Linked DNA regions of Arabidopsis thaliana. The protein of the gene in region 3 interacts with the protein of the main gene of each other region in a biochemical or structural test. Each region holds a gene or a part of one and is shown on either strand. Other genes may lie near its edges. The genes, in order: HCAR, DEG1 and LHCB5.

What was found.
Region 1: the proteins of LHCB5 (region 3) and HCAR form a complex in vitro, tested with the Arabidopsis thaliana proteins (one study listed by BioGRID).
Region 2: the proteins of LHCB5 (region 3) and DEG1 form a complex in vitro, tested with the Arabidopsis thaliana proteins (one study listed by BioGRID).

What each region holds. Positions count from the first base shown.
Region 1 is NC_003070.9:1,279,684-1,291,873, reverse strand, and holds HCAR (coenzyme F420 hydrogenase family / dehydrogenase, beta subunit family), read left to right. Parts: upstream 1-5,254; 5' UTR 5,255-5,381; coding exon 5,382-5,463; intron 5,464-5,872; coding exon 5,873-5,978; intron 5,979-6,070; coding exon 6,071-6,155; intron 6,156-6,246; coding exon 6,247-6,358; intron 6,359-6,504; coding exon 6,505-6,589; intron 6,590-6,693; coding exon 6,694-6,735; intron 6,736-6,869; coding exon 6,870-6,948; intron 6,949-7,032; coding exon 7,033-7,084; intron 7,085-7,183; coding exon 7,184-7,246; intron 7,247-7,420; coding exon 7,421-7,518; intron 7,519-7,595; coding exon 7,596-7,631; intron 7,632-7,711; coding exon 7,712-7,773; intron 7,774-7,877; coding exon 7,878-7,905; intron 7,906-8,000; coding exon 8,001-8,080; intron 8,081-8,165; coding exon 8,166-8,235; intron 8,236-8,333; coding exon 8,334-8,391; intron 8,392-8,551; coding exon 8,552-8,616; intron 8,617-8,711; coding exon 8,712-8,806; intron 8,807-8,914; coding exon 8,915-9,005; 3' UTR 9,006-9,711; and 1 more. Other genes in the region: EMB1687 (ribonuclease P family protein / Rpp14 family protein), read right to left, coding at 69-524; MEE4 (GRIM-19 protein), read left to right, coding at 888-1,102, 1,651-1,722, 1,809-1,953; AT1G04625 (Polynucleotidyl transferase, ribonuclease H-like superfamily protein), read left to right, coding at 2,054-2,180, 3,086-3,642, 3,954-4,043; YUC3 (YUCCA 3), read right to left, coding at 10,543-10,770, 11,103-11,474, 11,637-12,190. UniProt on the Arabidopsis thaliana protein: Probable iron-sulfur flavoprotein that converts 7-hydroxymethyl chlorophyll a to chlorophyll a using ferredoxin as a reducing equivalent. Catalyzes the reduction of a hydroxymethyl group to a methyl group. Belongs to the chlorophyll catabolic enzymes (CCEs).
Region 2 is NC_003074.8:10,361,986-10,373,021, forward strand, and holds DEG1 (DegP protease 1), read right to left. Parts: upstream 6,960-11,036; 5' UTR 6,880-6,959; coding exon 6,458-6,879; intron 6,369-6,457; coding exon 6,246-6,368; intron 6,088-6,245; coding exon 5,916-6,087; intron 5,795-5,915; coding exon 5,757-5,794; intron 5,530-5,756; coding exon 5,331-5,529; intron 5,213-5,330; coding exon 5,060-5,212; intron 4,957-5,059; coding exon 4,822-4,956; intron 4,752-4,821; coding exon 4,674-4,751; 3' UTR 4,624-4,673; exon of another isoform or gene 4,364-4,623; intron 3,684-4,363; 3' UTR 3,667-3,683; downstream 1-3,666. Other genes in the region: MYB0 (myb domain protein 0), read right to left, coding at 1-377, 1,144-1,273, 1,383-1,521; AT3G27930 (beta-galactosidase), read right to left, coding at 7,608-7,776, 7,866-7,938, 8,030-8,111, 8,203-8,293, 8,388-8,464, 8,581-8,622, 8,814-8,944, 9,073-9,153 and 6 more. UniProt on the Arabidopsis thaliana protein: Serine protease that is required at high temperature. May be involved in the degradation of damaged proteins. In vivo, can degrade beta-casein.
Region 3 is NC_003075.7:6,403,414-6,413,156, reverse strand, and holds LHCB5 (light harvesting complex of photosystem II 5), read right to left. Parts: upstream 5,151-9,743; 5' UTR 4,958-5,150; coding exon 4,768-4,957; intron 4,685-4,767; coding exon 4,600-4,684; intron 4,511-4,599; coding exon 4,460-4,510; intron 4,362-4,459; coding exon 4,241-4,361; intron 4,135-4,240; coding exon 4,000-4,134; intron 3,922-3,999; coding exon 3,661-3,921; 3' UTR 3,308-3,660; downstream 1-3,307. Other genes in the region: AT4G10330 (glycine-rich protein), read right to left, coding at 6,021-6,114, 6,201-6,351, 6,459-6,606; AT4G10320 (tRNA synthetase class I (I, L, M and V) family protein), read left to right, coding at 8,648-9,181, 9,271-9,336, 9,425-9,743. UniProt on the Arabidopsis thaliana protein: The light-harvesting complex (LHC) functions as a light receptor, it captures and delivers excitation energy to photosystems with which it is closely associated.

The DNA.
Region 1 (12,190 bases), on a different chromosome or scaffold from region 3:
AAATACAAAGATTGTACAATTTCAAAACTTAGGGGTCAAATTCGAAGGAAAAAAGGTCTAGAAAAGTTTCAGTTTTCCAATAGTTTGATCTTCTCAAGAGAAGTATTCATCTGCCTAATCTCCTCTTCAGACAAGCTTTTGCTACACTGCTCAAACTTCTCCTTGTCGCACTTCAAGGCTGTGTCTCTACACGCTCTGATGCAACCGCTAATATCGAGCAAGTTTAAGATCACCGGACAGTTTCCGATGCTTTTGACCAATGTGATTGCTAACCAAACTTGTCTGTGTTCTTCTCTTGATGATCTTACAATGCATAGCTTCGTGATTGGATTCACATATTTCACTTGGAAGGAACCGAGAGACGAACCTAGACCACACTCGCCGAAATTGACGAGGATACTGTCTTTGATTGCTTTCGAGAGATTGAATTGTGTAAGAATGATCGGTGTTCCTTCTCCGAGAAGATCCTTGTCCGGATCCAGAAAAACTTCCATTAACATGTATCTGTTCTTAAATCCCACCATGCTTCTTCGAATCTCCTCGATTTGATGATACCAAGTCGGCGGCTAAAGATATTCTGAACATGTAGTTAGGGCATTTTATATGTAAGAAGAAGAAGAAGATAATCACGTGACTCCACGTGACTTGCTTACTTATGGACTTGGGTCTTTGAACATATCTGAAATGGGCTTAGTTATAGCCCATTTCATCTCATACGACTCCGTGATTTGCTAACTAATGGGCTTAGTTATATGGTCCTAGCCTAGTTAATCTCCAACGTTCCCTTCGTTGTTCATCGGAATCCCTAGAACACTCGATTTCAGCAAAATCAAATCGGATTCAGTGATCAAAAGTCAATTTGGTCGAGAAGAAATTGAGCGTTGAAGATGACGGAGGCGATGATAAGAAATAAGCCAGGAATGGCGAGTGTGAAGGATATGCCGCTGCTTCAGGATGGTCCGCCACCGGGTGGGTTCGCACCGGTCCGATATGCCCGCCGGATATCCAATACGGGTCCTAGTGCAATGGCCATGTTCCTTGCCGTTTCTGGTGCCTTTGCTTGGGGAATGTACCAGGTCGGCCAGGGAAACAAAATCCGCAGGTAAGAACGACTTGTAATAGCTCGTTCACATTTCAATTTTTCCTCTAAAATTCGAGATCGCCTTGGTAAAATTAGTGTTGTGGAGTGATTGATGACCATAGTAATGTAGTGAAGGATACATTTTGGTTAATAATTGTTGAAACTTGAGTATGTTTATCGTAGGAATTGGTTAATATTATTAACCTATGGAAACATAGGCTTGTTGAATCACTGTTATGTATTCTGTTATTAGTATTCCCCGACATTTTGGTTGAAGCTTAATCAGCATGAGTTTAGCCTTAAACGAATATAAAGTTCGTCAACAATTTGTAAACTCTTAAAGCCACAATTGCAAAGATGTGAGAATCTGTTATGATGAAAGCAATTATCTAGTTGCATGTTTTGATAGTAGTTATCGGGATACTGTTTCTATGTAGATAGATTGTTTTAGTATTATATCTGGCTTGATCATTAACTTCTTATGCATTTACAATGGTCCTAAACAAGTCTGATTTGATATCAGTAAGTATCAAGATTAATGCTCTTATCAAGATTGATGTGATGTTTAGGGCATTGAAGGAAGAGAAATATGCTGCTCGTAGAACAATACTTCCCATTCTTCAAGCAGAAGAAGATGAAAGGTAAACCATATTCTCAAATTTAAGTCAATGTGCCTGCAGCAACCTTCAGATAGCAATCTTGTTTCAATCCCCGTTTTGCATTCTAGGTTTGTGTCTGAGTGGAAAAAGTATCTGGAATATGAGGCTGATGTAATGAAAGATGTTCCGGGATGGAAAGTTGGCGAGAATGTGTACAATTCTGGTCGCTGGATGCCTCCGGCTACTGGGGAACTCCGTCCTGATGTGTGGTGATTTCCTAGTTTCTCTCAAATGCATATGATGATGATGAATGATGTTTCGCTGAGGATTGATATGTTCTTGTTATATCTTTTTTTCTTCGGGTAATAAGAGAATGATTCAACAGACAGTATTCTTCTTGTATTGGTTTTCTCTTAAGTGTTTCAATCGTAATATGAGGCAAAAACAGTTTCATGATTCATCAGCAAGCTGCAAGAAATTGGCTTATTTGACAGCTCCAGGTGAAAAATATTCGAAAAAGCTTACCGAGTGAAATCGAACCAAATCATATATAATTATATGTGAATTTAATATCCAAAACAATAAAATTTTGAAAACAAGAGTTCTTGAAAATGAAAAAAAGAGTAAAACCTTTTCAGAAAATAAATAAAATTAAATGCTAAATATAGTACATGAAAATGAGAAAAATATGTTAGATTTGTGAAATCGTTAATGACCATGGTTAAATGGCGGGATCCAAAATCCGGTTAGATTTCACAACGTCATATTAATTTAGTATTTATAAAATCTTTTAAAAAAAAGAAAAAGGAAAAAAAAAGAGAGTTGAAAACATTTTTAAAAAAATAAAATAAAAATAATTAAATGCTAAATATACATGAAGATGTGAAAAACATGTTGGATTTGTGGAATCGCTAATGACCACGGTTAAATGGCGGGATCCAAAATCTGGTTAGATTTCACAACGTTATATTAATTTAGTATTTATTAAAACTTTTAAAAAAATCAAAAAAAATTTGAAAAACTTTTAAGAAAAGAAAACAAAAAATAAATGCTAAATATACATGAAGATGTGAAAAATATGTTGGATTTATGGAATCGCTAATGACCACGGTTAAATGGCGGGATCAAAAATCCGGTTAGATTTCACAACGTCATATTAATTTAGTATTTATAAAAAACCTTTAAAAAATTATTTATTTAAATGTTTTAGTGAAAGTTTTAGTTTTGGTTAAAATAATTTTTAAAGAAAAGAAGAAAAAAAGTTAGAATGAAGAAAGTCCTAGTGTAACGAAGGCCTCATACAGCAAAGCCCATTCCAAAGTCCTAGTGTAGCTCTGTCGTAACATTATCCACCAATTTTAGGTCAATTTTGTAAAACTAAACTACAAGATCATTCCATGGGAAGCTTCTCTCCGATATGCAAGACAAGACGCCAAAGAATGGCAAGATGCAGAAGAGTACACCCACCGTTTATCATCAAAACCTGACAGAGTAACGTCACAAGAACCAACAGCTAATCTCTGGACAACACCCCCTATTGGTTGGACGAAATGCAACTATGACGGCACTTACCACAGCAACGCTCCGAGTAAAGCGGGTTGGCTCTTACGGGATGATCGAGGAACCTTTCTAGGTGCAGCTCATGCTATAGGCTCTATTACTACCAATCCGATGGAAAGTGAACTCCAAGCTTTAGTCATGGCCATGCAACATTGTTGGAGTAGGGGCTATAGGAAAATTTACTTTGAAGGTGACAATAAAGAAGTCTCAGAGATTGTCAATGGTCGGTCTTCAAATTTTGCAGTTTTTAATTGGATAAGAGATATAAGCGCTTGGAGATCAAAATTTGAAGAATGCAAGTTTACTTGGACAAGGCGATTTTCAAACATGGCTGCAGATGCTCTGGCAAAACAACAACTTCCTTTGAACACTCAGTTTTATTGCTATAACTATATCCCGTTTGTAATAACTGATTTTTTACATCGCGACTTTGCTACAGCAAATTATTAATAAAGCTGATGTTTGAGGAAAAAAAAAAAAACTACAAGATCAAACCCTAGTTCCTCCGATGAAATTGCGGTTAGAAAACTAAATATTGATTGACCTAATTCAAAGAGACCTTTTTTGTGCAGAAACTAAATATTAAAAATCCAAGGTTCCAAGAGATCAAATAGGAATTTAAGCGAGAAGCAACATACCTGAGTCTCGTGACAACGGCGCGTGGTTTGCGTCAATACTTGGGACTCTCGGTGAGATCCGCCATGATTTGCTAGAGAGATCGTGAAACGCAAGAAAACAGAGAGACAAACGGTGGCGAGATCATTGATGGTGTGATCACCGAGTTACAGTTCCGACGGTTCTGACGGTGGTGAAAATGGATGGTGATCATCGAGCTTTGACGTTCTCGTGATCGGTGAGTTCTTTTTGTAAGAGAGGAACAGAAACAAACAGAGGCTAAAAAGACAAAAGAAGAAGAAGAAGGTGGATTTTTTGTTTTCTTCTCGTAATCCATGCTTTGGACCTTGTATCAGCCACTTATGATCATTTGCTATATTGATGCTTTCCAATTTTAGAGTATTGAAATGGGTTTCTTTGACAATCATTTTGAGTTAGTCATCATTCCTTGTTCTGAATCAAGAATTGGCTTTTGTTATGTTGTCTAGGTTCTGCTTGTAACTAGAGTAATGCTATTGTAGTCTCTGTTGTTTATTTGTAGAATCATAGAGAGTCGTGGAAGCATGTTTTAGTTGTTACTCTCGATTTCTTGTCGATGTTGTGGTGTTATAAATTGAGCGTTTTAACCAATACAAGTTAGGAGATGGTTAGTATGTGACTATGTGTTAGTGGCCATGTATGTAGTTCGATCAGATAATCTGAATGATGTGCTAAAGAGCTTGCATAGGAAGACTGCCTTTGTGTTAGCTTGCATAGAGACTTGTTGCAATATATGAGACTGAAAACTATTATGTGAAAACTTTAATTTGTGTACAAATATTTTTAACTCTTAAAATTAAACTAACATTGTACCAATTAGCACATGAAAGAAACACAGAATTCTGTGAACATATGATGAATAACTATATAAACACATTATGGATTCAGTTAAGGAGACAGAAACAAGAAGATGAATTTCAGATATATAGCAATAGAGTCACTTATAATCATATCAGAGCTTATACTTTATACAAATTATCACTTTAGTCCTTAAATTAAAACCGATTTAATCGACAATCTTGTTATTCTTTAAAACAATTTGTTCTTATTTTCAATCTTTAAATTTTGCAACAATCGACAGAACTTATCGTTATTCCGTGTTTTTATTTTCATATCTTTCTTAAAATGTTTCAAAATAATATATGTTTAATATTTTCTGATTTACAATAGTTATTAAGTTATATGAAATATAATTATTTTAAATTTTATTTTATTTTTCAGAAAACTCTTATAAGAGAGCTTACCATTAGAATATGAAAAAAAATTAAAACTCTCTTATAACTTTTTAAAAATTTTAATAATAAAAAAATGGAGAAAGCCCGTGAAAGAGCTCTTACGAACCAAAACCATTCAGTCCGGTTAAGAATTGGTTATCAAGTTTGGTTCCTAAAAGATATCCAAGTTCAAAAGCAAAAAAATATCTTCTTTTCTCTCTCTCTACTCTCTTCTCTTCTTCTCTTCTTCTCTTCTTCTCTGGCTGGGCAACCATGATTACTGTCGTCACCTCCAGGCTCTCTCTCCTTCCTCCAGTCTTCTCCGTCGTTAACTCTTCTTCTTCGCGTTCCAAAGGTGCTCAATTTATTTCTGCCACGTCTTCTCTTTATAGCACTCTGTTTTACACACGTCGTTGATTCTTCAGTTTTTTAAAAGACCCGTCTTATACAAAATTTCAGTGTAACCGATCCCTGAAATTCGTTAAAGGGATGAAATTTTATCTAAGATTCGGAGTTTTCTTTTCGAACATAGTGGTAATGTTTGTCGAATGCTTGATTTGGTCTTCCACAGCTGTCACTATCGAGTTTGAAGATAGAAATCTTGTGTTAACTTAGTATGTATTACTGCATAATGTCAATTCTGTTTGAAAGCATCAGAATTTCGGAACAGATTTTTGTTTCGTATAGCATCGATCTTTGTCTTGTGTGTTTTTATCTTCTCTCTGAAGCCTGCATGAACCCTTCTCTTATGGCTTTAATTGCAGATATGAATCTAGAGCCAAAAAAGAAGGTTAAATTAAGAGAAGACTGGAGAGAAAAGTCCAGACCTATCCCACCCGGAGGAACCTATCCAGCTAAAGACCATTGCAGGTTTTTTCTTTCTTTTTTGTTTGTTTGTTTGTTTACCTCACTATTTTTGTCTCATTCTTATCAAGATCCTTGGTGTTCTGATGGGTTTGCAGTCAGTGCGGGCTATGCGACACCTACTACATTGCCCATGTGAAGGAGGCATGTGCATTTCTTGGAGATGGAATGTCAAGGATTGAGGTAATGTCCATATAAATGGATAAGATTTGATACTCTTTTTAATTGATGGGCTAAGATTCTTATTTTGTTAATATTTTAAGTTCTTGTGCAGAGCTTGGAACCTGTTGTGCATGGTAGAGGAAGGAAAGCAGATTCCTTACAAGATACATATTTTGGGGTGCATCAAGAGCAGCTCTATGCTCGTAAGTTGAAGCCTGTCGAAGGTAAATAGACACTTCCCTTCCACTGTTCCACATTTTCTACTAACTTCTTTTCCTGGCTCAATCTAAGCTAGGGCACTTTTGTGTCTCGTTCAAGATGAATTTAGCTTAGCTTTGTTGTTTACTTTTCATTCTATTTTCGGTTGCAGGAGCTCAGTGGACTGGAATTGTCACAACCATAGCCATTGAGATGCTGAAATCTAATATGGTTGAAGCTGTCGTTTGTGTGCAGAGGTAAAACTACTGTTGAATTTCAGAAATGGACTAGGCTTACATTTATCGACCATGCTGTAGATTTTTCCATCTATCCATGTAACTGATTTATTGAAATATTACAGTGATCCTGAAGACAGATTATCTCCAAGACCAGTATTAGCCAGGTTTTCCACCTTCCTAATGTGGTTTATTTTGAGTCCATTCTTCTTCAAGTCGCCATTTTTTAGATGTGGATCCATATTTTGCTGTTACTCTGGATATAGAAGCGTATTGATGTTTCATTTCTTTTCATTCTAAGGACACCTGAAGAAGTTTTGGCTGCAAGAGGTGTCAAGCCAACTCTGTCTCCTAATCTGAATACTCTTGAATTAATCGAGGTTATTTGCCAAACCCTTATTTCTTGTTTGTGTTTTCAATCACTGAATCCATTTCACATGAACTTAGAATTTGTATTGTAACAGGCTTCCGGAGTGAAGCGTCTTCTGTTTTGCGGTGTGGGTTGCCAAGTGCAAGGTATGGGCTCAACATACTTTTTTGTGGACGTATATTTCAAGTTTCTCCATATCGTGACTCTCATAGTATTGTAATGCAGAGTGATTTCTTATACTGCAGCATTGAGATCAGTGGAGCAGCATCTGAATCTGGAAAAGTTGTATGTACTAGGCACCAATTGTGGTATTTTCCTCATCCTATCTAGATTTGTTTTTTCTCCAGAACTTTCACAACTAGTTCTTGTGTTGTACTTTTGAACATTCCATGTTGTATATGTTATTTCGGAGTCTTGTATGCTTAGGTCTAGAAATGCTTATACATTTTTAAACAAGTAAAAAGAACATCTTTGATTAATAGTGGACAACGGAACACGAGATGGACTAGACAAGTTTCTGAAAGCAGCTAGTAAAGAGCCAGAGACTGTTCTCCATTATGAATTTATGCAAGATTACAAGGTTAGCATTAATACAAAACCATCACTTATCTGTGCATTTTCTTTGGTGATGCCAATCTTGTTCAATTTCTCTTATAGGTCCAACTCAAACACTTGGATGGACACATTGAAGAGGTAAATTCGCTTAAAATACTGTGTTGCTCTGCAATTGCAGCTGAAAGCCGTTTTTAAAAAACTTTTTTTGGCTAAAGCAGGTTCCCTATTTCTCTCTACCTGCAAACGATTTAGTAGATGTCATAGCTCCATCGTGTTACAGGTAATACAAGTCTCTGCATTGTCTCTATACCTTGAAATAGATAACCTGTCGGAAATTTTTAAAACTTGTCTACAATTACAAACCCTATCTTTTTTATTCTGCAGCTGCTTTGATTACACAAATGCATTAGCGGTGAGTGTTTCTCTAGCAATTAAGATGTCTTTTCACTTAATTTTGATTCTGCCAATTTCAAACATTTCCTGATATGTATGAGCTTGTTTATCTAGGATTTGGTTATCGGTTACATGGGTGTTCCGAAGTATTCAGGTCTGAACATGACTGACCATCCACAGTATATTACAGTGAGGTCAATATTTCTACGTATTTTGACATGGACCATATAGGTTCTCGTGGTTGGATAAAATTAGTTTTGTTTATGCCTTAAACCACAGAAATGAACGTGGGAAAGAAATGCTCAGCTTGGTAGAAAACCTTTTGGAGATCACTCCAACAATCAGCAGCGTAAAGTTTCTAACATTTATATTTGTTGTTATATTTAAGACTTTAAGAGTCCACTTAACAAATAACATGAACAAACACACCTTTTGTTGTTGTTTCAGGGTGATCGGCGACCTTTTGTGACAGAAACTGTTAAGGCAGACGATGCTGCTAAGTTTGGTATGTTTTCAAACGTATTCGAAACTCTTTTGTTTCTTGAATCGTCTCTGCTTAAAGACATTCAGTTTCAAGCAAAGCTAGATGCCAAAAAGAAAGTTCTCAGCAAATGCATGCAACTAACATTGTGCTAAAGTCTTCTAACTAGTCTATAATTTCTTAGGTCAAGGTCCTGCTCAGCCAGCGCCACTATTTGTTGGAAACATTATTGCGTTCATCCTAAATTTGGTAAGATTATTTCCTTATGAACACAAACCGAGAAACAAGCTCATTGCATAAAAAGTCAAAGAGTTTCTTAACTTGCAAAACCATTCTTGCTTCAGGTTGGTCCTAAGGGTCTAGAATTTGCTCGGTACTCGTTGGACTACCATACCATCAGAAACTATTTGTACGTAAACCGCAAATGGGGAAAGCAAAGGTAAGATCTGAAACACACTCCTAGAGATAAAAGTTTATTGCGATCAACTGTGTATTTCTATACTATTGGATCGTTCTCTAATGACCAAAGCTGCATTACCATCTACAGAGCAAACACCCACATGCCATCATATGCCAAAAAGATAGTGGAAATGTACAACAAAAACGGCCAAATAGATAAAATGCTCTCCAAGAAATGAACATTTTAGGCCTTTCTCATGTAAGTTTCCAAATGTATATTTCATCCTACAAGTGAGTAAATGTACATTGGTCCTACTGTTTCTCAACTTGTAGTATGTTAGTAATATCCAAAACTATTTCCCTCGTGAATTTGGTAAGACACCGGCAAGAAAAGATGGGTCGGTTTGGTGTTTTTTGGCAGAGAACAGAGAATAAGAAACAGTCTAAATCAGCGGCTGAATCCAAATCAACCCATGTGGGTTCCTTCCTCCATATCTTTAGGTTAAGGTGATGTCCGAGTAAAAGGTTGCAGGGTTTTGCATGAGAACATGAATAACTGTTTTAAGAGGATGGGAACCAGACATTTACACAGTTGGGGGGAATTAGCTTTTAATGTCTTTTTTTTGCTTGGACAAAGAAGAAGGAACCATGGTTAAGCTTCACTCGCTCGCTCACTCACTCACTCACTCACTAACTTACTCATCACCATATTTCACACATTGGAAACTTCAAATTTTACTCTCTCTCTTTTTTTCTTTTTTTGTCTTTTTGTTAGTCAAGTCTCTGCTCTGCTCGTTCAATGACTTTGCTGCAGAGACTCTCAGACCTCAAGTGAAACTCATAAATGTCTCTGCTCTTTTGCACCATAGTTGATTTTTTCTCACCAGAGGCATTGTCCTAATACAGAGCATGTAAACGTTTTTTCTAATAATATATTTAAGTGAAATAAAGCTTACTTTGGTACCTTGAATTAATTTTGAGTTGCAATTTGACATATAACAATGTTAGAGAATTCATTTACGTATTGCATATTTTGGATCTGTATCTGTATCTGTTTCAGTATATATATATTTATAACTAGATCCAACATCATATATAATATATGATTTCACTCAAGTTTTTCTGAGAAAGTTGTATAATGTTATATTTATTATCCATCTGTGTTTCAAATTAGATACATTGTTCATCCCTAATGGATTTTGCATATCCTACAGAAATGCATGTTTCAGTATTTTCAACTTGTGTTCCCTGGAGGTTGTAATCCATGAAACAACTTTAATATGGACTGTCCAAGACAATCATGTGTAAATCAATCATTTGCCAAATATAATGATTACAAAATGGCTAATAATTCCTTAATCAGTTAAATAACAGCTCTAACTTGTGAGAGTATTCTTCCAATAATGAAACAGCATGAAATTAGTTGTTTCTTTTCCTGATCAACAACATCATCATAGAGATAACACAACATGCATCGTTGAGAAAAGAATTACAAAACCGTAAAATATATTTGTCATATTAGATTAAGCAAAACTTCTTACAAGAGTTCAAAATCTAAAATGAAGATTTAAAAAAAATACAACAACAAAATAAAGCACTCTTAAAATAAAAATACATAAAAAAGCCACATCTTCCTAAAAAAACAAAGAAAAATCCCCCTATTATTTTTTTCTTTTCACAATTCTCTTTTTTTTGGGGGTATTTTCTTCCGAGGAGAGGGCTTAATTATCTTCTTCTTTTTTTGAATATTTTTTTCCCTAAATTTGATAATGATGATTAGAAATGTGAAATACAACGACGATGACGAGCAGCAGCAGTTTTCTTCTGTTGCTTAGACTCTTCTTTCCACCTATTAGCAATATCATGAGCCACACTCATAGCATCAAGCGACGCACCAAACAATCCTTTTCTCGTGAACCCTACCGCATACAATCCCGCCTCTCCTTTCCATCCGTTTGGAAACGGGTTTTTTGGTATCCCATCATCGGAGAAGAAGTCGTTGTCCTGTTAATACAATTAAAATTCAACACACCAAATTAGTACACATACGAATTTATTGACCTAATTCTTAGTCCTAACTGTCATTACCGGATTTCTATTTCTAACCAAAAACTAGTACCACGTTTTTGTATCCTTTTCGATGAAAATATAAATGTTAATGGTTCATTTGCATTTATTGCTCACATTCGAAACACAATTTGAGTAGGGTTTTCACTAAACTAGGACCGGGTCGGGTGGTTTTTTTTGTGTGTTTTGTCTTCCGACATCATTAAATGTCTAAAATTTAAGCTAAACCTTGAGAAGAAACAATGAATGAAAGATGTTTTATTTATTACCTTAAGCCATGAAGGGACGTTGCTTCTGTATCCAGTAGCTAGAATAACGGAATCAATCTCAAGAACACGGCCATCTATTAGCTCAACTTTGCCTTTGCCGAACTTTATGATTCCGGGGACGATTTTGATCTTTCCCGATCTGATTTTGGGTAACGCTCCGATGTCAAGAACCGGAGTTTTGCCTTCCTTGTTCTTTAGCTCTAACGGTCCAATTTTCGGCCTTTTTAGACCGTATTTATCGGTATTCCCCAAGATAATCCTCGCCAGAAAGAGTATAGTCTTGTCCGCGAGCCAAACGGGCATATACTTCATCATCGTAACTCCTAATTCAAACGTTGATTTCCCAAAAATCTCTCTTGGTAAAACATGAACCTGATAAAATCAAGAAAGGAAAAAAAAACACAGACTATTAGATACTGCTCTGTTTTAGAAAACAGAGTAACAGAAACAGAGGATGCTCTGTTTTAGGGGCTATAAAGATTTGAACTTTTGGTACTTTTTTTTTTTTTTTGGTTTAAGACTTTTGGTACTTACAGCGCTACGAACGACCATCGATGGGTTTGCTCCGTGATTGTAGAGATCGAGAGAGACTTCCATACCGGAGTTTCCACATCCCACCACCAAAACCTTTTTCCCTTGGTACCTTCCACCGGATTTATAGTCACCAGCATGGAGAACATCGCCGCCAAAATCCTCTAGACCTTCAAAATCCGGCACAACTTTCTCAGCGTTCTCTCCCGTTGCCACCACAATCCATCTGCATATATACTCAAACTCGCAAGAACCGAGCTGACCCATGTTTGAAATGGTCTTAACCCGCCACAGCCCGAACGTCTCATCATATTTAGCGGACTGGACTGTCTCGTTGAACTTAGGGTTGATGTCAAAGTTGGCTGCGTAGGACTCAAGGTACTGAATAAACTGAAACTTGGTAGGGTACTCAGGGAACTCGTCCGGGAAAGGATAATTGGGTAATTGGCAAAACTGTTTAGGTAGATGGAGTTTGAGACGATCGTAGGTTCTGTTTTGCCATAATGAAGCAATGCAGTTAGCTCGCTCGAGGATTATGAATGGTACCCCTTCACGTT
Region 2 (11,036 bases), on a different chromosome or scaffold from region 3:
TTACGAGTGAACTAAGCTCAAAATCGTCGTCATGAACCCATAAAGCGTTATTGCCATAATAGTGACTTGGATCATTAGTAGTTGCCATTAGGACATCTTTTTGAGCCAGTTCTTGTTTTGGTTTATCCTCGTACGAAGCTGATACGACGCCGTTAAAGCTCTTGGCTATATTCTCGTAGATATTTTCTTGTTGATGATGACAAGAAGAAGGTGTGGCGGCAGTGATGAACAATGACGGTGGAGAGTCGTCGTCTTCTCCGGTGGTTTTGACGGCGGAGGAGTAATCTCCGACGAGTTTTTTGCTGAGATGAGTGTTCCAGTAGTTCTTGACTTGGTTATCTGTTCTTCCCGGTACTCTTTTAGCTATCAAAGACCATCTGAATTTGGGGAAAAAATATTATAGGACATTTTTATTAAATTCATACCATATAACATAAATTATAACATACCATATGTTTATGATTCTTTTTATTATTTCGACATCTGTATGTGATTCATAAATGAATGCATATTTATATACATAGAGAGGATTTTTTATTTTTATTTTTCAATTGTGGAAAACGTTTCTAACTCTATAATGAATTTTGAGAAGTGACTGTTTGCACGACTAATACACTTATGAAAAAGTGTCTATTATTCATTAAATATATCCACTTGAAATGTTCGAACATTTTTAAGTTCAAAAGATACTCTTAAAGATTTGTTTTTGGAGGAAACACCTTTTAAAATTGAAATAACCCACCAACACATCGGTTGAGTTTCATTGAAGAGAAGACAAACTTTTATCTTGTGCAACTCTTTTCTTCTTCAGAAAAATATATCAACTTGAAAATTTTGAACATATTTTAAGTTCAAAGGATTATTTTTAAGATTTATTTTGTGAAGAAAACACCTTTTGAAATGTGAAATAATCCACGAACACATAGTTTAATTGAAATAAAACAGTCTTTACTTGTCAACTCTCTTTATTTTTACATTTGCAAGTAAGAAAATCCTTCAATTAGATTTTTAAAAATCAACTTAACCGGCCAAATCTTTGTTTAAAACAACAATTCAAATATTTGACGAAAGAAAAAATCAGTTAACGATCGATTAAATAAAAAGACATGGTGTATAATATTGTAGTAACATAAAGTTATGTACCTATTGCCGAGGAGCTTGTGGAGACGAATAATGAGGTCTTCTTCTTGTTCAGTGAAATTGCCTTTGTTCACATTAGGGCTCAAATAATTCATCCATCTCAGTCTACAACTTTTCCCACATCTCTTTAGCCCTATCAACGAATCAAATTTAGTCTAACTGAGATATATTTATATATGAACTAGCTAGAGACTAAAGTTAATATATATAATCACAAAACGCGCGAGAGAGAGAAAGAGTACCAGTTTTTCTGACGATGCGGTTCCATTGGCCAGTGCCATGATTAAGAACATAGTCCATAAGGATGTTGTCTTCTTCAACTGTCCATAAACCTTTCTTGTATTCTTGATTCTCTTTTTCATCTCTTCTCCTTATTCTCATTCTTTTTTTATTCTCTGATTCCTTCTATGTTTGTGTGTGTCTGTGTGTGTGTGTGAGAGAGAGAAAGAGATTATGAGTAGTGAACTTATGATGGGTTTTCGTGACACGTGCTTATATATACACTCACATCAATACGTATCTTTGTGTAATCATGGCTATAAGCATAAATATGTACCTAATAATGTATAGATAGCGACTATAGCGTTATCCTTTGTTACCCTACGTTACGTATTAAAAGCTAAAATTTGGCAGTTGGTTTAATTGTATCTATGGCCAAAAAATTTATAAAAAAATTGTTTTTTCTCCTCTGGCAATATCTAAATACTATACTTGCGACATGAAATTTACAAAAACAAATCTACTAAATATGGGGCAGATTACTGCGAAATGTTCTATATTGTATGATTTAACTGATTTGTAATTTATTTGACACGTTAACCAGTTTGTTTATGCACTGTATACACTTACATTCTACTAATATTTGATAATGATCTTTTTCATTGGAACTACATATTATTTTTAGTTATTTATACAACAAAGTGGGATCGGAACAACCTATTTAAAAGTACCACAGAGTTCACCCTAAAACAGTTTTTTTGCAGAAGATAAAACATGAAAAAAGAAACTTTGATGGATCAATGAAATGGTTCTCCTTTCCATATGTCTTGTTTCTCAAATTATAGTCAACTTTTCGACATACTTTTTAAAAGTTCATGAGGTTACCCTCTTTAATTGAGTTTTAAAAATAGACCACAAAATTTATGTGTTCATTTACATATCATATCGATTTAATTTCTTAAATCTAATCAGATAGTTTAGCCTGTATACTGATTAGTTAGTCAAAATGAGAATTTTCAAGTCACAAGTTCGAACATTATAGTAGATAAGAGACCAAATTAATCTCCTCTAATTTTCGGGGTAGAAAAATTATGGACCTAAATTATATATATGTGTGTGCATACTGTTAATATACAAAGACATATATATATATATATATATATTTTGATGAAAGGTTTAATTTATTTACTCAAGAAAGCGTCTACGTACAAAGTATGAGTATATGTTGAATACCATATAACCTAGTTCCAACTAACAAGTTAAGTGGTAGAGAATAAAATAGTGAAACTGAATATGTAAGGAATATGTCTCACAACTATTTAACTAAATAATTGGAGGAATAGAAGCTCTGCTCTTCACTTGTCTCCCTACTTACCAGTTACCACCTTCCTACTCTCTTCTACTTTGGTTTTCGAGCTAGCTTATACATATACCCTTATAAATATGCATACTATTTACTTGCACAAAAACAGAAAAATATAGTTTCCACTAGCTAAATAGTATTTCGGTTATAAAAAAACTACTTTAATTTTTGACTAACTCGAGAAAGTACAAACAATTATTTCTAAGAAATGTAAATTATGTATATGAAGTAGCTACTATCATTATTCTTTTTACTTATAAGTACTGTAGTTTTTTACTCAATGTTTTTGTTATTAGGTTTTTTAGTATTAAGTTGTTAATATTGGGGCTACATAAAGCCAAACAAACATATATGATTGGCATAGTCAAGTTCTCAACAAGCTATCCTCTAACGAAGCATTTGGGTAACGACATGTCGTCGTATATATATCTAGATACACGTACATATTAAATTAGAAATTTACTCCAAAAGCAGAGGATTCTCGTAATCATTACCAAGTCGGCTCGAAAGTAGTTTATATACATTACTATGAATACATTTCCAAATGAAGATGCCCGTGATTTATGACCCCACAAATTCAAAGACAAAGACAAAAAAAATATATACCCTATTAAACCGGTTTGGTTTAGATACAGTCCCAACCATAGAAGATACAATCTTACTACATATACTTTACGTTGCAAATTTATAAATACCAACCCATGTCAGTGTCTTGTTGGTGTTGCTTAAAAAGAATGACACAAATATTAAATTCCACGTAGGGACCTTCGCTGATCATTACATATTCGGTTCGTTTTCACTTATCACGTGGGTAATATTTGATGTTATGAAAGTGTTCAAAAACTACGTAAATTATAGTTTTTGCACCCAAAAAATAAAATACAAATGGTTGAGTTTGTATACAGGGAAACATGCAGACATAACCTCAAACTTTTTTTTTTTTTGCAAAGCTACCTTTCACCTGCAACACAACCATCCAAGTCATAACTTAGCTCGAGTAAATGATCTCTCAACGAGAGCATGCGTTCACAACTTAATAAAAAAACTCAATAATTTATCAAAACTACAGTACGTTGTTTTAAATATTTTAAAAAACTAACATAATGTGAAATAGGGACCGTAAAATGACTTAACAATTGAACAAATAACCTAAACCGTGTAAGACTATATTATAAAGATTCGAACACATGACATGAACTCAAGACATAACCATATAATACACGTACATCTTTTGATAAATCATGAAGAATAATATCAAAAAGAAATTCTTGGTAATGAGTCGAAAATCAAACCATTAAATTTTCAAACTCGAATGTTTGTAGATGTAAAATTTTAGGAAGTTTCATGTATAAAAAGTAACCATGTTCGGAACTGAATAAAAGCTATAAAAGGACTTTGTTAACTTCGGAATCCGTAAGTTCAGAATTGTCTCGACTAAAATAAAGGTCCAAAATCAGTACTAATGTACTATGTAATATGTATCATTGCTAAGCCGCACAATCATGAAATTTTATTTTGGTACTACAAAGCCGCAAAATCAGTACTATGCATCATTGCAAAATCAGTACTATGCATCCGAGAGAGTGTTGAAAAAAAAATTTGGTACTACAAAGCCGCAAAATCAGTACTATGCATCATTGCTAAGATGAGGTAACTGTCCATTAAGCCGACGAAATTCGGTTTTCATTTTTCTCATTTTGATTTTTTCTAGGTGTCAGACTCGTCACTCCCAATGTCTGAACCGAAATTAAAAACCAATCCAAACCATAAGACCGTTTGAAGACATTGCAATTTTGGTTATTTCCGGTTACCTTTCGCATGTATGCAAATATAAACAGATTTTATGTACACAATTGGACGATCTATTTTCCGAACAATTGATATACAAAAATATAACCCACCGGACTTTTTTTCTACACGTTATGTATATTTACTTCTTTCAACGACGTTTCTAAGACTCGTCCGGCTTTGGTTCGAGAGTTACAGAGATTTTCTCCTTGTGATCGCCTCTTAGAACCTCTACGGTCACCTAATCAACATCATCAGTGTCAAAACTATCTCGGATGCAGAAACTAATTGACAAAAACTGCGGAGTTTACCTCATCGCCGACTTTGCATTGATCGAGAATCCGGTACAGATCACTCCCGTTAGAGACTTTTGTACCGTTCACCGACGTGATTATGTCTCCTAGTACTAGTCTCCCGTAACCATCACGTTTTGTTGACTGAAGTCCCTGTGGAACAAAACCAATTTTACACATTTCAATATTAAAACCGCGGAGTGAAACATAGAGAAAATATCTGTTATATGGAAACTTGGAAACAGGAAGAGCTTACGGCTTTGCCGGCTGGACCACTTGGAGGAGCATCCAAGACGAGCACACCGCTCACTCCCAATTGCTCAACAGATTGGTCCGGTGCGAATTTGATACCTAAGATTGGTCTGGTGACTTTACCAAATCTCACCAGCTGATCAACGATACCACCAACCTGAACATGAGAGAAACAGAGCTCGAAACAACTTTAGTCTCCCGTTAGTGGATTCAATGATAGAGAAAGACTCTATCTGATCAGATTTGCAATGGGTAAAAAAGAAGAGAGAACTCACTGTATCAACTGGGATCGAAAAGCCCACTCCAGAAGATGCACCAGAAGGAGAATAAATGGCTGTGTTTATACCAATTAACGTTCCTGAGCTATCTAGAAGAGGTCCTCCGCTGTTACCAGGGTTAATGGCTGCATCTGTCTGTATCACATCTTGAATTGGACGACCAGTTGCAGCAGAACTAATTTCTCTTCGCAAACCACTGTACAAATCATAATGCACAAACATGCTACAGTTTTAATAAGAGAAAAGGAATAGTATAGCCATTTGGCATGAAGAGGGGCAAGAGAAAATATATGTATCCAGTATCCTCAAGTACCAATCATCTTTTTTGACACTTTCATTTGTGAGTTCGTTATGAGAAGAACACATCTGATTAGAGTAGAATGCAACTTAAAAAAAAGAGAAGACAAATATAATTTAACATACCTTATAACACCAGTTGTGAGAGTATGATCAAGTCCAAACTGCACAAAAAAGTTCTTGCTTTAGTGCGTATGAACAAGAAACATAAGTATTGACCTAGCTAGCAATAGAAAACACAAAGCAGAGCTTTAATCTATGATCACTTTAAGGATGTATACTCACTGGATTGCCAATGGCAAAGACTTTCTGGCCAACAAGCAGATCAGCAGAGACTCCAACAGGTATAGGTCTTAATTTGTTTTTCGGTGCATCAATACGTAATACTGCAACATCCTTATCTTGGTCAAATCCAACAACTTTTGCATCAAATGTTGTTTGATCAGCAAGAGTGACCCTGTTATATACATCATCCAACTTCCTTATCATACACAAACATCAAAAGAAACCATCCAAAGAAACAATGTACTCATTATAAAACTAAGAATACAACAATTACTAATTCCAATTTCTATCAAAAATCAATCAGATTCTCAAAGTTTCAACATAACTAACCTGAGATCAGAAGCACCACGAATAACATGGTAATTGGTAACAATATGACCTTGCTTATCCCACACAAATCCTGAACCAGAGCCTTGAGGTACCTCAAGAACGTCCAATGTAAACGCGTCCTGCCTAATTCAAACAACATTAGACCAATCCTCAAATCACGGAGAGAAGAAATTCAAAACGAAATTCACCAGAGAGAAATCAAATTCAGATACCTCACGGCGAGATTAGTGATGTAAACAACGGAAGGAGTGTTCTCTTGAAACAAACGAACCGTCGCGAGCTCATCAGTTTGAAGTTTCTTCGGAGTACTAACTACAAACGCCGAGGCAGATTCAACGGCGGGAGAAGCGGCGAAGAGTGAAAACGATAACGCGACGGAGGTACAGAGGAGGAAGAAAGGTTTAACGGCGGAGAACGGAGTAAAATGAAGAGTATCATCATCGTCGTCTCTGTTGTTGTCGTTTAGTGAAAGCTTCGAGAGGATTCGGAAATAGCGTTTGGATCGGATTGGGTAAAGAGAAATTGGAGAGGATCGTGAAGAAGAGAGATTGAAGAAGGAGAGGTGAGAAGAAGGAGGAGAGTGAAGGAAGAGAGTGGAAGAAAGGAGAAGCGAACAACTCGTCGTCGTCGCCATTTAGTTTCTTCTTCTTCTTCTGGTCATGGGACAATGGGATTGTGGTCTCTGTTTTATTTCATTTTTTTTTGTAATTAAAAATATTAATTTTTGAAAATAATGGTTTTTCTATGCGAAGCTATGGTTTTGTATACGTAACCGAATCGAACCGAAATTGAATTGAAATTTGTTTAGTAAACCACTATTTTATGATCTTATGAATCTGGAATAAACAAAACCGGGTCTTTTTTTTGTTACCGAATCAAATTGAATCGAAAACTTTTTGTACTTTGAAAATAAATTTAAACAGTAACCTTTATTATGGTAAATATTATAAAGAATGTTGTTACTTATATCCATAACCCGTAGTACACCAATAATCGATTTTTTAAAATTTTTAAATTTAAGTTGTATTTCTTTATATTATTTGTTTTGTTTTTGTTTGATATTTGTTCACCCGTAATATATCATCCCATATAAATATCGTTCCAAACCGAATGAAAAGTCCAAAAACAAATCAGGATTTCGCTTCATTTAAGAACTTCGAAAAATCAAAAGCCCAAAAAGACCAAACTTAAGAGTTTAAACCAGATAATCCACTCCTAATTTTGAACACTAAACACTTGTACTCCATAAGAGTAAAAATGGTTATTCCTAAGTAATTCTTCTTTCGTCGAACTTATTAAATACTTGACTTGGTTGATATCTAAATCTACTAGATAAAAGTGCAAAAAGATTAATGGTGTAGTTTAGAGAATCTTCTGGGACGGTCTAAGTTCTTTTGGCAGCTCACTAAAATTCTCTGCGTCCACATCGGCTTGATACATTGGTCTCTTCCCCATTTTCCACACAATCCCTTCAGCTAAATGTTCTTTGTTCGGTGTCAGCATTACAAAGTTTGGATCAGCTCTTTGGTAACTGCAATTTCACAAAATAAAACAATGTGAAGAAGATCATGAAGCTAAAGAGGGTTGATTTAATTTTAAACTTGTCACAAATGGACTGACCTGGCTTCTCTTAAGTTATCAACACGTAGACCGAACCCACATTGGACATTTCCAGTCCTATGATTAGTTGTTGCTGCATAAAAAATGAGTCCAAACATGTTCAAATACCAAGAACCTATGTTCATCTTGATTTCGCTGCATTCAGGTTATTTATCAACGCATACCTGAAATATTGAATGCGAAAGACGGTTTCCACCACGACTTGAATGCTAATGACAATGTTGAGCTATGAGCTCCGACTTTACCCTGCAAAAGTTGAAAATGTTACATACTGAGCAAAATTTGAGATAAATGGTTTCTTTTTGAGTAACTCGATAAGGTAAATATTTTTTTATACCTTCAGCAAAAAGTTCTTGTTGGCCTGCCAAGACGCAGCCACCTGCAATAAAGAATCTGGGGCATTGGGTGGCGTCTTGGAATCATCAACCCTTCAATATTAAGACGAAATATAAAGTTCTGTTTCTGTATAGACAAACAGTAGCTACAATGTTTTTTTTTTTTTTACTTAGAGATGTTCACTACCTCGATTGTAGCTCAAAACCAAAATCAATGTAGTTTGTGATTCCAACTACTTGGTTTTCTTCGAAAGGATTTTGCACCTGTTCCAAGTCCATTAAATCGATTTCATATTGAGCCAAAGATGTGCTAAACTTTATATATGGAAGACTAGTATAAGATGCAGCACAGAAAAAGGACTTGTTTGAAAGAGTTGTACCCGTCTTTGGACCACTACGTGTTGGTAGAACGAAGCAATAAACTGCATTTACAAGAAAGATAACATAATCAGCAAGACTAAAAATGCTACAAAATGGATGATATGCCATTAGATAAATAATGTGGTCGTTTGTCAAGTTCCATGAGATACTGAAAAATTGTTTGGGGTTAAGACTTGTGCATACAGACAGCAAAACAACATGTTTTCATCTACACGGATTTTAAAAGAATCACCTGAGAGCTTCTTGCTAGTTCAATGCCAATGTTAAAAGAAGGAGTCAAGGGGCTTTGTGACCCTACTCCATAGCCAGCAGCACAACTCCAGTTTCTTGGGTCTGTGTACTTTGCCAAATCTTTGCTTCCATCTAAAACAAAATCCAATAACAATTGTTGATGCTCACTTTCTTTCAATCACATAATTTATAGATACTAGTTTCCACATGTGATGCGTAAAATCTGTTCAACAGAAATAAAACAATGTAAACTAACTCACGTAGCGGCTCATATTGTACTCCTACTGTAAGACTTCCCATCTTGCTTACAAGCCATGCATGCTTTGGCAATTCGTTATTCGCTGAATTGAAGAATCAAAGGGTCAGCATTGTGTCCAAAAGAAAACAACGTGAATTCACAGAGCAACTTTATGCGCTTACCACTAAAAGGAGTGACAGTAGCTCCGACAGACAAATTCGTTGAGCCATATCTCAACCCCATGATTCTATATTCTTCAGATGATTTTCCACTACAGAGACAACATATATTCACCCTCACAATATTACATCTAATCTAAATATAACAACAGGGTACACACCTAGATACGACTTACGTAATTTTTGAAATCAAAGGGTAGACCGCAAATGCCCCGATTCCATATTTAGGATAGTAAGCAGAAGACCTCATTAGAAGAACCCTTAATGATGATGACAAACAAAACAAACAATTTCAAAACATTAAACTACTGTAATGAACATAACCTCCAAGAATATATCAAAAGTAGCACAAAGTTTACGGATTCGAGGTTGACACAGAGAGATCAACAAAAGTATGAGGATCATCAACATCACTGCATATTTATCAAAAACAAACTAATCAGTATTCCAATTCTCCAACAACTACTTGTAATCTTTCAGATTAAAAACTAAAGAATCTATACCTTTGCCAGCGAAACTCCGCATTCCCAACAAAATCTCCTTCCACTCTACCATCTACAGCACCCGAAACCTTTAGACTATTAAGGAAAATTCTGATTTTCTACATATCCCTAATACATCCATTTAGAGAAAATTCTCGAATCATCACTATATAGAAACTAAATAACACAAAAGAGATTTCAAAATTGGATACAGATGCAACCAAATCCACATGAGGATCATCAGTAGGCTTCAACAAAAACTTGCCCGTGAATCGATTAGCTTCTTCAAAGTAATCCTCAAATAGACATCTCAATGCAAGCTTCCCAAACAACAAATTATATGATGATTCCAACATCCTGCATCAACAACAACAACAATTTCTCACAATCGCACAATTACAATTTAACCTATAAATCAGAATCGATCTATTTGATTAGATTAGGTTATACAAAAACTACTTCGAAATCACGCGATTCTAACAAATTGAAAGTATGAGGATCAGATCGGAGAAGAAGAGGAGATGGTAGACCTAGTGCGGGCGGAGAGAGGAGGGTAATCAAAGAGCGGAGGAACGAGTACCACCGGAGGCGGTGGTTCTTTTTTGACAAGAGCATTCCCCATTGTTCTAGAACGGAGAAGAAGAGATTCTGCGACAACGAGAGAGCTTCTTCGATGAATTCAATAGTTAGTGAGAGCTCTCGGCGATAGTCTCGCTTCTGCTTTTGCTTCACGTTTGAATATTTCAACATTCTTCTATATTAAGACTTTATATAGTAATAAACCTAAGCGGCGCTTTAAATTAACCGACTAATCCAAAAAAAAATCTTTAGAAACTAGACATTATCTTTGTAAAATTTAAATATTAAATTATTCGTATAATATTTTTTTCCCAATTTTTTGGATATTATTTATTGTTGTATACAATTTGTCAAGGTTATGGAGAATGTGTTTATGACAGTTTTGGTAATTGCAAGATATTGTGATGCATATGTGAATGTTTTGAAACCATATTTTAAGATAACATTTTATTAAATTTCAAAATTTTGGTTCTCTACACTGCTACACAACTGAAAAGTTGTTTTTGTTTTGAGATATTTTTTTCTTGGCAATTCGTGGTGACGATGATGTTGATTTGGAGTTATTGCAGCTTCTAGTGGTGGCTTTTCAAGCCTCCAAATCATCAGTTATTGGCATTGGTGGTATTTCTTTAGCTCACTGATATGTTTTGGTTTTGCCTTGATGTTGATGTTGTTGTGAGTTGAGGTATTAGCGTTGCAATGCGTTTGCTGCCTAGTGTTGTGTTTTTACTATGCACTAGTGGAGG
Region 3 (9,743 bases):
TATTGCACAATATGGTCACATCACAAGTTTACTTTCACTAGCCCGTTCAGAATCCTCTAAAGACTGGCTTTCGGATCTTTCGATTCCCGATCCCAGCAAGTTTCACCTTTCTCATGTTTGTTACTTGTCACTTATTTTTTCTTTCTTACATTTGTTATAAGTTTTTATGTTGTGTGAAAAAAAGTTATGCATTTGTGGTCTTATATACAAAAAACCAAAGATAAGGGATAAGGATGTGAGAATCTAAATATGTAAATTTACACATTCAATGCCTCATATTAAGTATATTTAGGGTAAGCAAATCTGACAAAATCTAAAAATCCCCACATACTATTTACTCTTTGTCAATACCATTTCAGAATTTAAAAATGTTTGAATGGATTGTTTTGACAACTTGATGAATAAATTTAGGTTATTTCTTTCCCTCTATGTTTATCCTCATCCTTCTAACATTGTGATTTGTTTTCACTTTCATTTCACTTTCACGTACTTTCTGATAGGATATAGAGAACAATCTATGTTGCATGGAAACGGAAACGGAAACGCGGAAGCGAAACATTTCGGAAATGAGAAACGATTTTTTCTTAAAATTAAGGATTATAAACGTTTTGGAAACGTATACACACATTCATATATATATATATATATATAACAGTAACATAAAACTATATTAAAGAAAAAATGGTTTAAACAATACAAGTCCAAATTATCAATATTAAATAAGTTAACTAAAATTCTAAAAGATCAAGATTAAAAGGTTTCAAATATTTAGACCAACATTCTCATTCTCATTTTTATAAGTTTCATCAATGATAATATAAAGCTCTCTTCAAATCTGGTTTATCAAGAGAAAGATCTTAAAAATCAGAATTTTATAAAATTAGTTATATGTATTAATAATCTGAATATTTCCAATTTTAGTTATTAAATTTTCAAAGTCAATAAAAACAATTTGTCGTATGTCTATTTCAGAAATGTGAGTTTCTGCTTTGGAAACTCACGTTTCCATCGTGTTTCCAAACATAGATTTCTAGGAAACGCGTTTCTGTGACAATTTTCGTGTTTCCGAAGAGTTTCCGTTTTCGAAACATTTCGGAAACTGGAAACGGACCTCGGACCGAGTTTCCATGTAACCTACAATACACAACAAAGTTTTGACTTGGAAAGTATTTAGCTTGTTCATTATAAGAAGATGATCTTTATAAGGATCTACTTATTTTGGAACTTAACTTGTTCTACGCAATAGATTAAACCCGATTAAGAACACGTCTAATCCTAACTCTAGTTTGATCCTATTCACCCAATCGTGAAACACTAATAGAGATAATCAAACACTCACCTTCTAAGCCTTATTATTTTAGCTATGAAAATTATAAATCCACAATAATCTAGAGACTAGAGTGTTAAACGAGGGCTCATGGCCTCTCTAGACTATATTACACACCACACGAAAACCCTAATCGTAAGAAAATCGTAAATTTCCACAAATGTATTAACCTTGCTCATTAATGTTATATTTTCCTTAAGTTTGTCGTAGATAATATTTAGTGAATCTCTAATACAACTCGCATCTTCAAACACTACGCCAAGTCAGCTCATGTGTCCTTGACATGTCATATCATCCTCTATAGTTTGTCACGTCAGATTTTGCATCCACGCAGCTTACAGACTCTTGATGCCTGCTGCAGCTCCTAATCGAACAACAAGCTGTTCTAGAATCTGTATCTACACTTTCACTTCTTAGGTTTTGTAAATTTCACCTTCACTTATATATAGTCAAACCCTAAAATCTTCTAGGGCCATGTCAATTCCCTAACACTTTCTCTGTTTTAATCTCTCTGACCACCTCCGTTTTTGTCCATATCTCATGCTCATTGGCCACAAGTCATCGCTTCCACGCCGTTTGTGTCCTACATGTAACTATATATTGCCTTTATTATATTACTCTTTGTCGTTTCGAATTATAGATTTATAATTCTTTGTATTTTTTGTTTCTAGAGATATATATCCGTAAATGTTAATGAGTTTGCAAAGTGAAGAACTTGAGCACGATCATTCTTTAAAACACTTCAATTTTCAATTTTGATCGTTGTTTTCATGCCTTATTTTGCTTTGGATTTTGCATATTCCACAAAATTTTGTCGTTTGGTTTTGCAAGAACTATAGAGAATTGGATGCATAAGAGTGACTTAAATTGCCATGTGTATGAAACTGATCGATTGGAAGGTTAATTATTCTCTACTCCGAGGTTTATGTCAAGTGCTTATATTGGTAAAAAAAATCTTTAATTCCCCGAATATTGCGAACCGGAAATTTGTAGAGCAATTAAGTTGCAGTTCTACTAAATGAGGATGAAGTTATGTCTGTAAATCTAGGTGTCTACTTTAGCTTTGAAGTTTACAAATCTCACTGCTATAGTAATAGTCTAGAGTGTTAGCGACGACTCATGGCCTCTCTAGACTATATGTACACAACATGAAAACCCTAATCCTAAGAAAATCGTAAATCTCCACGAATGGATAAACCTTGCACATCAATGTTATATTTTCCTTAAGTTGTTGTAGAGAATATTTAGTGAATCTCTACAATAACTCGTATCTTCAAACTCTACGCAAAATTAGCTCCCACGTCGTCTTTTACATGTTACATATCATGTCTCTAGTTTCGTCACGTCAGCTTCCATACTCTTGATGTAGGACCGCGAGTTCCAACACTTGATGTGTTAGTTTTACAAATTAAACGAGGGTTTGGGTTTATAAAGATGAGTTCAGATTTAGATTTAATTTTTTTTTTTTTTAAATAATACTAATATTAATAATCAAAACCCCTTTAATGGGCCTCGGGCTGAGGCCTTACAAAAACATAGATCATGGAATCTGACGACTACACCAGAGGACGAGTTCTAATCCCGACGGTGGTCGGAAGTAGAGACGACCTACTTGTTAAAAGTAAATGTAATTGTTAAATGTTGGTTAGATGTGACAAAATATCAAGCAATATAAATGCTTGATTTGCTTAAAATGGTTATCACTTATTGAACCTTTGATCTGACAGTGAAAACATTCTTATTTTGAATCGAAGCAAATGTACATGCCTAGCTAGAGTTTAGAATCCAATTGGGGTTGTGATTTCTGCAACTTCAAAGCTCACAGAGTGAAAACACTAATTTGTGTTTTGCAATCGAAGCAAAATTCACATTTTTATGACACATCGGTATTACTGTATGAGACATGCAATTGTTGAGAGTGAGTAATACTAGTTCTTTACAATGTAAGAATGATTAATTAGTTGTGAAAATATTCTGCTACTGCTCATTGCTATTTGATCTTCTGCTACTTAATATTGTTCAACGGATCACATCTCTCGACTAACTTATATAGTCCCAAATTCCATCACAATATTAGTTGTGAAACTTTTTACCATACTCGCCACTAGTGATAAAATCGCAATGTATGACTAAATTGTGACAGAGCGTTCTTGGTAACAACAAATATTAAACCAATGGGTGACTATGTATATCCTTAGAAGCATGATAAAGCACCATTGAAAATTTGAAATATATCAAGAAGATTCAGATGGAAGTTTTTTTAACATTGTCAAAAGGAGTTCCAATCGAACAAAGTGTACATTTTGGAAGCTCTTAAAAAAAGTAGAAATGGCTTAGAGAGTGGGAGCTCTCTCGGCAGTTCCAGCGATGACGGTAAGCAAGTTGTTTCCAAAAGGATCACTGAGATGCTTTGCAAGGTTCTCAACAGGACCTTCTCCGGTAACATACGCTTGGATAAAGAAACCGAGCATCGCAAACATGGCTAATCTCCCGTTCTTGATCTCTTTGACTTTGAGAAGAGCTCCTTGCTCAGGGTCCTTAGCAAGGCCTAGAGGATCAAATGGACCTCCTGGGTGTAGCTTGTCCTCGAAATCCTACCAAATATTTGCATTTCAAGTTTAGTCATTTTCCCATGAGTAATAGCTAAATGTAGAGACTAGAGAGTAATGTACCAATCCGTTGGTGATTCTGTAGTACTCGGCTCCACCGAGGAGAACAACCTCAGCAACTACGGCGAGAACAAGGTTGATAGGGATGTTCTTGCCAAAGTAGTTCAATGTGTTTCCATCAAGAAGCAAAGCACCAGTCTGCAATCAGTATTCCAAAAAGAACCATCTCATCACATCAACACATTCTTGCTTTGCTAAAGAATCTAAGTCTGAATGTAAATAAAGATTAGACGTAGGCAAGAACCTTAAACCAGACAGCTTCAGGGCCACAGTTAGCGCCATATTTGTTTAAAGCTTCAGGAATGATGAAACCAGCTGCTCCTAACATAGCCCATCTCGCATGGATCAATTCAAAAGCTTGGTATCTACAACCACATTCATTAAAGAACCAATCTTAATGACAAATTCGATAGATATAGCTCAAAGCAAACACAAAAGGTTTAGGATAAAAGAATCTACTTACTTAGCAAAGTTCTCAGGCTTCTTTCCAAGACCAAATGGGTCATAACCATAACTGCAAATTCAGATTCAGACCAATAAACCTTAAGCACAGAATCCAAAAGTAGGCATACATACAAAGAGAGACATGAAAAAGTGTCTTACTCTCCAGCAACTTCACCGTTTAAGTACTCTGGGATCTCTGATCTATCCAAAAGACCATCAGGCAAGAAAATTCTCCTGTCAGGACCTGCATAAGAGTCACAATTACAAACACATTCACAAAGAAACAGAGCAAGAAATGATTATAAAAGGGATTTAGAAGACACATACCATACCACTTGGCGAGCTCATCGCTAGTCTCAGAGACAGCCTTGGACTTAGCAGGAGCTGGCTTTTTCTTAGAGAAGAGAGCAACAGTCTTGAACGTGGATGGGCTTGATGCCAACGGAGCAGACGATCTTGAAACTGCCCTGAAGTTAAGGGGAGTACCAAGCATTTCCGACACACCCAAAGACGCCATTCTTTTAGTCCAAAGTTTCAAGCTTTACTCTGGTTTAACACTAGGAAGAGCTAAGTGAAAGAAGGAGGAAGAGACGAAACTGCTCCTATAAGGTGGAGAGTAGGATTCGTTCAGGATTTTGATTGGTCTGGATTGAAAATGTGAAATATGATTCTGTCCTCTGATTGGTTGTGGATGCTGATGTGGCTTTTAGATTGGTTTTTGTTGGATAATTTATTTTATCCATATCCTCTGTTTCTCCTTTTGTGTGGCTAAGCTTTCACCTATACAGCAAAATGTGTTACAAGAATCTCAAACACATGAAAATCTCAACTGTTAAATGTCATCCACAAGCCTTTCACAGTCCTAGTTGGGGTTTTCAGTAAATTCCTTGGGACATTTGGAATCACTGTGGTCCTGTTTACTACCGTAATGTAGACGACAACCGGAATTTTCATATAGACGTAAAACTCCCAAGCTCAACGGTTAGATTTTCACATTGTATCAACAGTTATGAACATACTCATTACACCAAAAAGAGAAACGAATCATCCGACTAGTCCTAGACGTGAACATACTCTTTCTACAAGGAGTTTCCCACAATTCTATAACATATACATCATGTGGATCGAAACTGAAGCGATTGAGCCGCAGGATCATGTACATAGAGAATACGAAAATTTAATCATCTTGGTTCACAGTGCCGGTTCACACACAGTACTACGGTAGAATCGAAAGAGCTATAATGAATTTATGCCCTTTGGCCCTAGAGCTGAGCTCACTGTGCCACTATACGCACTATTCTACCTCCTTAAACTGAGAGAAAATCTCAAACTCAACCTCCATATTGATCCAAGTTGAGCCATAAAGAACAACTCATAGCACCAAAAATCAGCACTCAAACCATACACATTACCAGAATGATAAATCAGCCACCTAAATTATGCGAATCCATCTTTATACCATACGTAAAATTGTACAAAAAGAAAGGAGATTATCACTAGCCCCAAATCTACATTATTGATCTAAGAACAAACCAAACACTACCATTTACTTGGAAGCTGCAACAAATCCTAAAAGTTCATCATTTTAACCACTTGTCGATTTCATTTGTAGTAGCTTTCACAAGCTTCTTCGTGCTAACAACAAGTTCATCAATCAGTGAATCAACTTCATTCCTGTCAACAAATCACCAAAGTCAAAATCATCATCTTCTTCTTCAAATCCTTAATCACTAAAAATCTAATTGCAGACAAATACTCACAGAGATGGTTTTCCAACGTTGTAATAAGAACGAGAGTGATCATAAGCAGCTCCTCTTCCAACACCATAGCCAAAACCTACACCAATTCCACAACCAGCTCCAAATCCAAGACCAAATTGTAATCCAGGAACTCCTGGTCCGAATCCTACACCTGTTTTCATCAAACCAATCTCTACTCTCTTAAACCAAAACTATCTATAAATAGCTTCGAGCGATTCGCGAGTCTGCGATCAAAATTGGGAGAAATTAGAAATTTACCTCCGATAAGACCGGCGCCGAAACCAAATCCGCAACCGACACCGAGTCCAAAAGCTGGACCAACTTTTCCAATGTCTCTGATCCTAACTTGGGGAAGTTTCCAGAGCAATCCTTTGTCATCGTCTCCGGTTCTTCTTCTGTTGCTCATCGTCCCTTTCGCTCTCTCTTTCGGCGTGGATTCGCCAATACATACTTTAAATGGGCCTATATTATAAGGCGCACTCTTATTTCTCAAGGCCCAACTTCAGCCCAATAGTCATATAGATCTCATTTCACAAGCGATATTTGTTATGTTTATTTTATTTTAATCTTTTGTTTTATATCATAATGAATTTTATAGAAGATATCTGTTATGTTTATATTCATAATGAATTTGTTTTATATCATAATAATATGGATTTTCATTAACAACATTTTTTTTAATACATAAAACTAAAAAACCCACAATTATTCTCAAATTTTCACTTTGTTTTCAGTTACTTTATATATATTTGCCAAACATATTATATAATATATGAAGATTTGTTCTTACATATATTTAATGGATTGATGCCTCATTAGTTTTATTCTCAATTTCAAAACTAAAATTAATAACAAATCTTTCGTAAAACTATTAAATTTTAGATTCAACTAGATTAAACTCCATCCAATATGCATGTTTAATTTTTAAAACTAAAATAAATTTAACAAAAAGATATATTAAAATCTTATTGTAAGTAGAAAATAAATATATAATATTTTATTTTGAGAATTGTTTATTTATATATTCGTTTTTTCCTTATTCGAAAAATATTATACATGGAAATTACTAGTCAAATCATCATCTAATTTACATCTATTTACAAATCTATCGTCTACTTTACCACTAAAAATGTGTTTACTCACAATCATATTTTCTTGTTGAAGTATTCTCATTCCCACCACGTATAAAATGATTATATGAATGCATAAAGCCAACTACATGTGTTTTTATTTTCACTTTCACATAGTTTTTTAACCACTAAAATTATTGATTCATAAAATATTTTGAAAGAAAATATATCACATAGCAATAATTAATGATTTATTTATAAGAAAAACTAGAATAAGTAAAAATTACTCGATCGCAATGAGTCTATAATAAACCAATAAAGGTTGAGAAATTTGATTGGACAAAATTATAAGCACAATGATAAAAGATTAAGGCTTATAGATTCTATCGCAAGTAATAATTCTTTTCATTTTATATAAAACTATTTTGCATTTAAAAATATGTTTATCATTATTTGTTGCATATTTTGTACGAGAAAATTATTTGAAAAAATTCTATGCATGTTTTAATGTTAAAAAAAACTCTGTTGAGTGTATTCACGAGCCACTCAATGTAATTTTTATCTGATGTGAACATAATATATGCCTAAAGAAAAGTTTGAAACTCACCCTTATATTCAGATTGATGTTGTGGACTAATGTTGAAATATATTCTAGTATAAGTTCTAGACCACATGATTTCATATAAACTTAGGTCCAACTTTCACCAATTATTATGAAACATTTGTATTGGGTCTTAAATTTTTGCGACCCATTTGCAGATATTTTTGTTTTGTTTAAGCCTCGAAATTAGCAAAACTACCCCAAAATTAACAAAAATGCCCCATAATTAACAAAAATACCTTATAATTAGTAAAAAGTTCCATAATTGACAAAAAATGTCCAAAAATTAATAAATAAAAATTATCAATGTCTCATAATTAGGAAAAATAAATCAGTTTTTATTTTAGAAAAGCGTCAATTTGTTTTGTATTTGGCCTTGGATTTTAGATTTTAGTACATTTCTTATTATATTAAAGTATGTATATTAATCAATATTAAACTACTATCTTATTGATCATCATTTAACAGTTTATTCATCTAATATTTTCATCATTATTCATCTAATTCATCTGGTTCAGTATATCAACCACCATTTGACAGTTTCATAATAGTCAAAATATTTTCCTTCTTCCTTAAATCGATTTTTTAATACCAATAAGTGGAAGTTTGACCCAAAAAGAAAACAAACAAGTTAATGGGCTTACTACGGCCCATTAATAAACAAAAACGCACCAAAACTTCATCTTCAACGCCGGGGACTTTGATATCATCTGCGCCGAACAAAAACTCTGCAGAAACCCTAATTTTCGTCAGTGATTGATTCTTCCGTTTCCACCATGGAAGAAGTATGCGAAGGAAAAGAATTCTCATTCCCTCGTCAAGAAGAAGATGTCCTCTCCTTCTGGACTGAAATCGATGCTTTCAAGACACAGCTCAAACGCACTGAGAATCTTCCTGAGTACATCTTCTACGACGGACCTCCTTTTGCCACCGGACTTCCTCACTACGGACATATCCTCGCTGGTACGATTAAAGATATTGTGACTCGGTATCAGACCATGACTGGTCACCATGTCACTCGTCGGTTTGGGTGGGATTGTCATGGCTTACCTGTTGAGAATGAGATTGATCGGAAATTGAATATTAAGAGGAGAGATGAAGTTATTAAGATGGGAATTGATAAGTATAATGAAGAGTGTAGGAGTATTGTGACTCGTTATGTTGCTGAGTGGGAGAAGGTTATTACTAGGTGTGGTCGTTGGATTGATTTTAAGAATGATTATAAGACTATGGATTTGCCTTTTATGGAAAGTGTTTGGTGGGTTTTTTCTCAGCTTTGGGAGAAGAATCTTGTTTACAGAGGATTCAAGGTTTGTTTGGCATTCTTCTTCCTGCATTGATGTGGTTTTGAAGTTTCGTGGATCGTGATTTTTGTATTTGGGTCAATTCTGGTTTGCAGGTTATGCCGTACAGTACTGGTTGTAAGACACCTTTATCTAATTTTGAAGCTGGTCAGAACTATAAGGTAATGTTGTTGTTATTGTGTTCTTCAGGTGATTGATTTGTGTTGTATAGTTTGATCTCTGATATTGGTAGAATGTGTGTATGTACAGGAAGTCCCTGATCCTGAAATCATGGTGACTTTTCCGGTTATTGGGGATCAAGATAATGCTGCTTTTGTGGCATGGACTACTACTCCGTGGACTCTTCCAAGCAATCTTGCTTTGTGTGTAAATGCGAAGTTTGTCTATGTGAAGGTTCGTAACAAGAACACTGGAAAAGTGTACATTGTTGCTGAATCTCGGTTGTCTGCTCTTCCCACTGATAAGCCTAAGGCCAAGTTAAGTAATGGACCTGCTGGTGATACTAAGAAAGCAAATCCTAAAGCTAAAGGTGCTAAACCTGAGAGTGCAGCTGATTCTTATGAAGTTT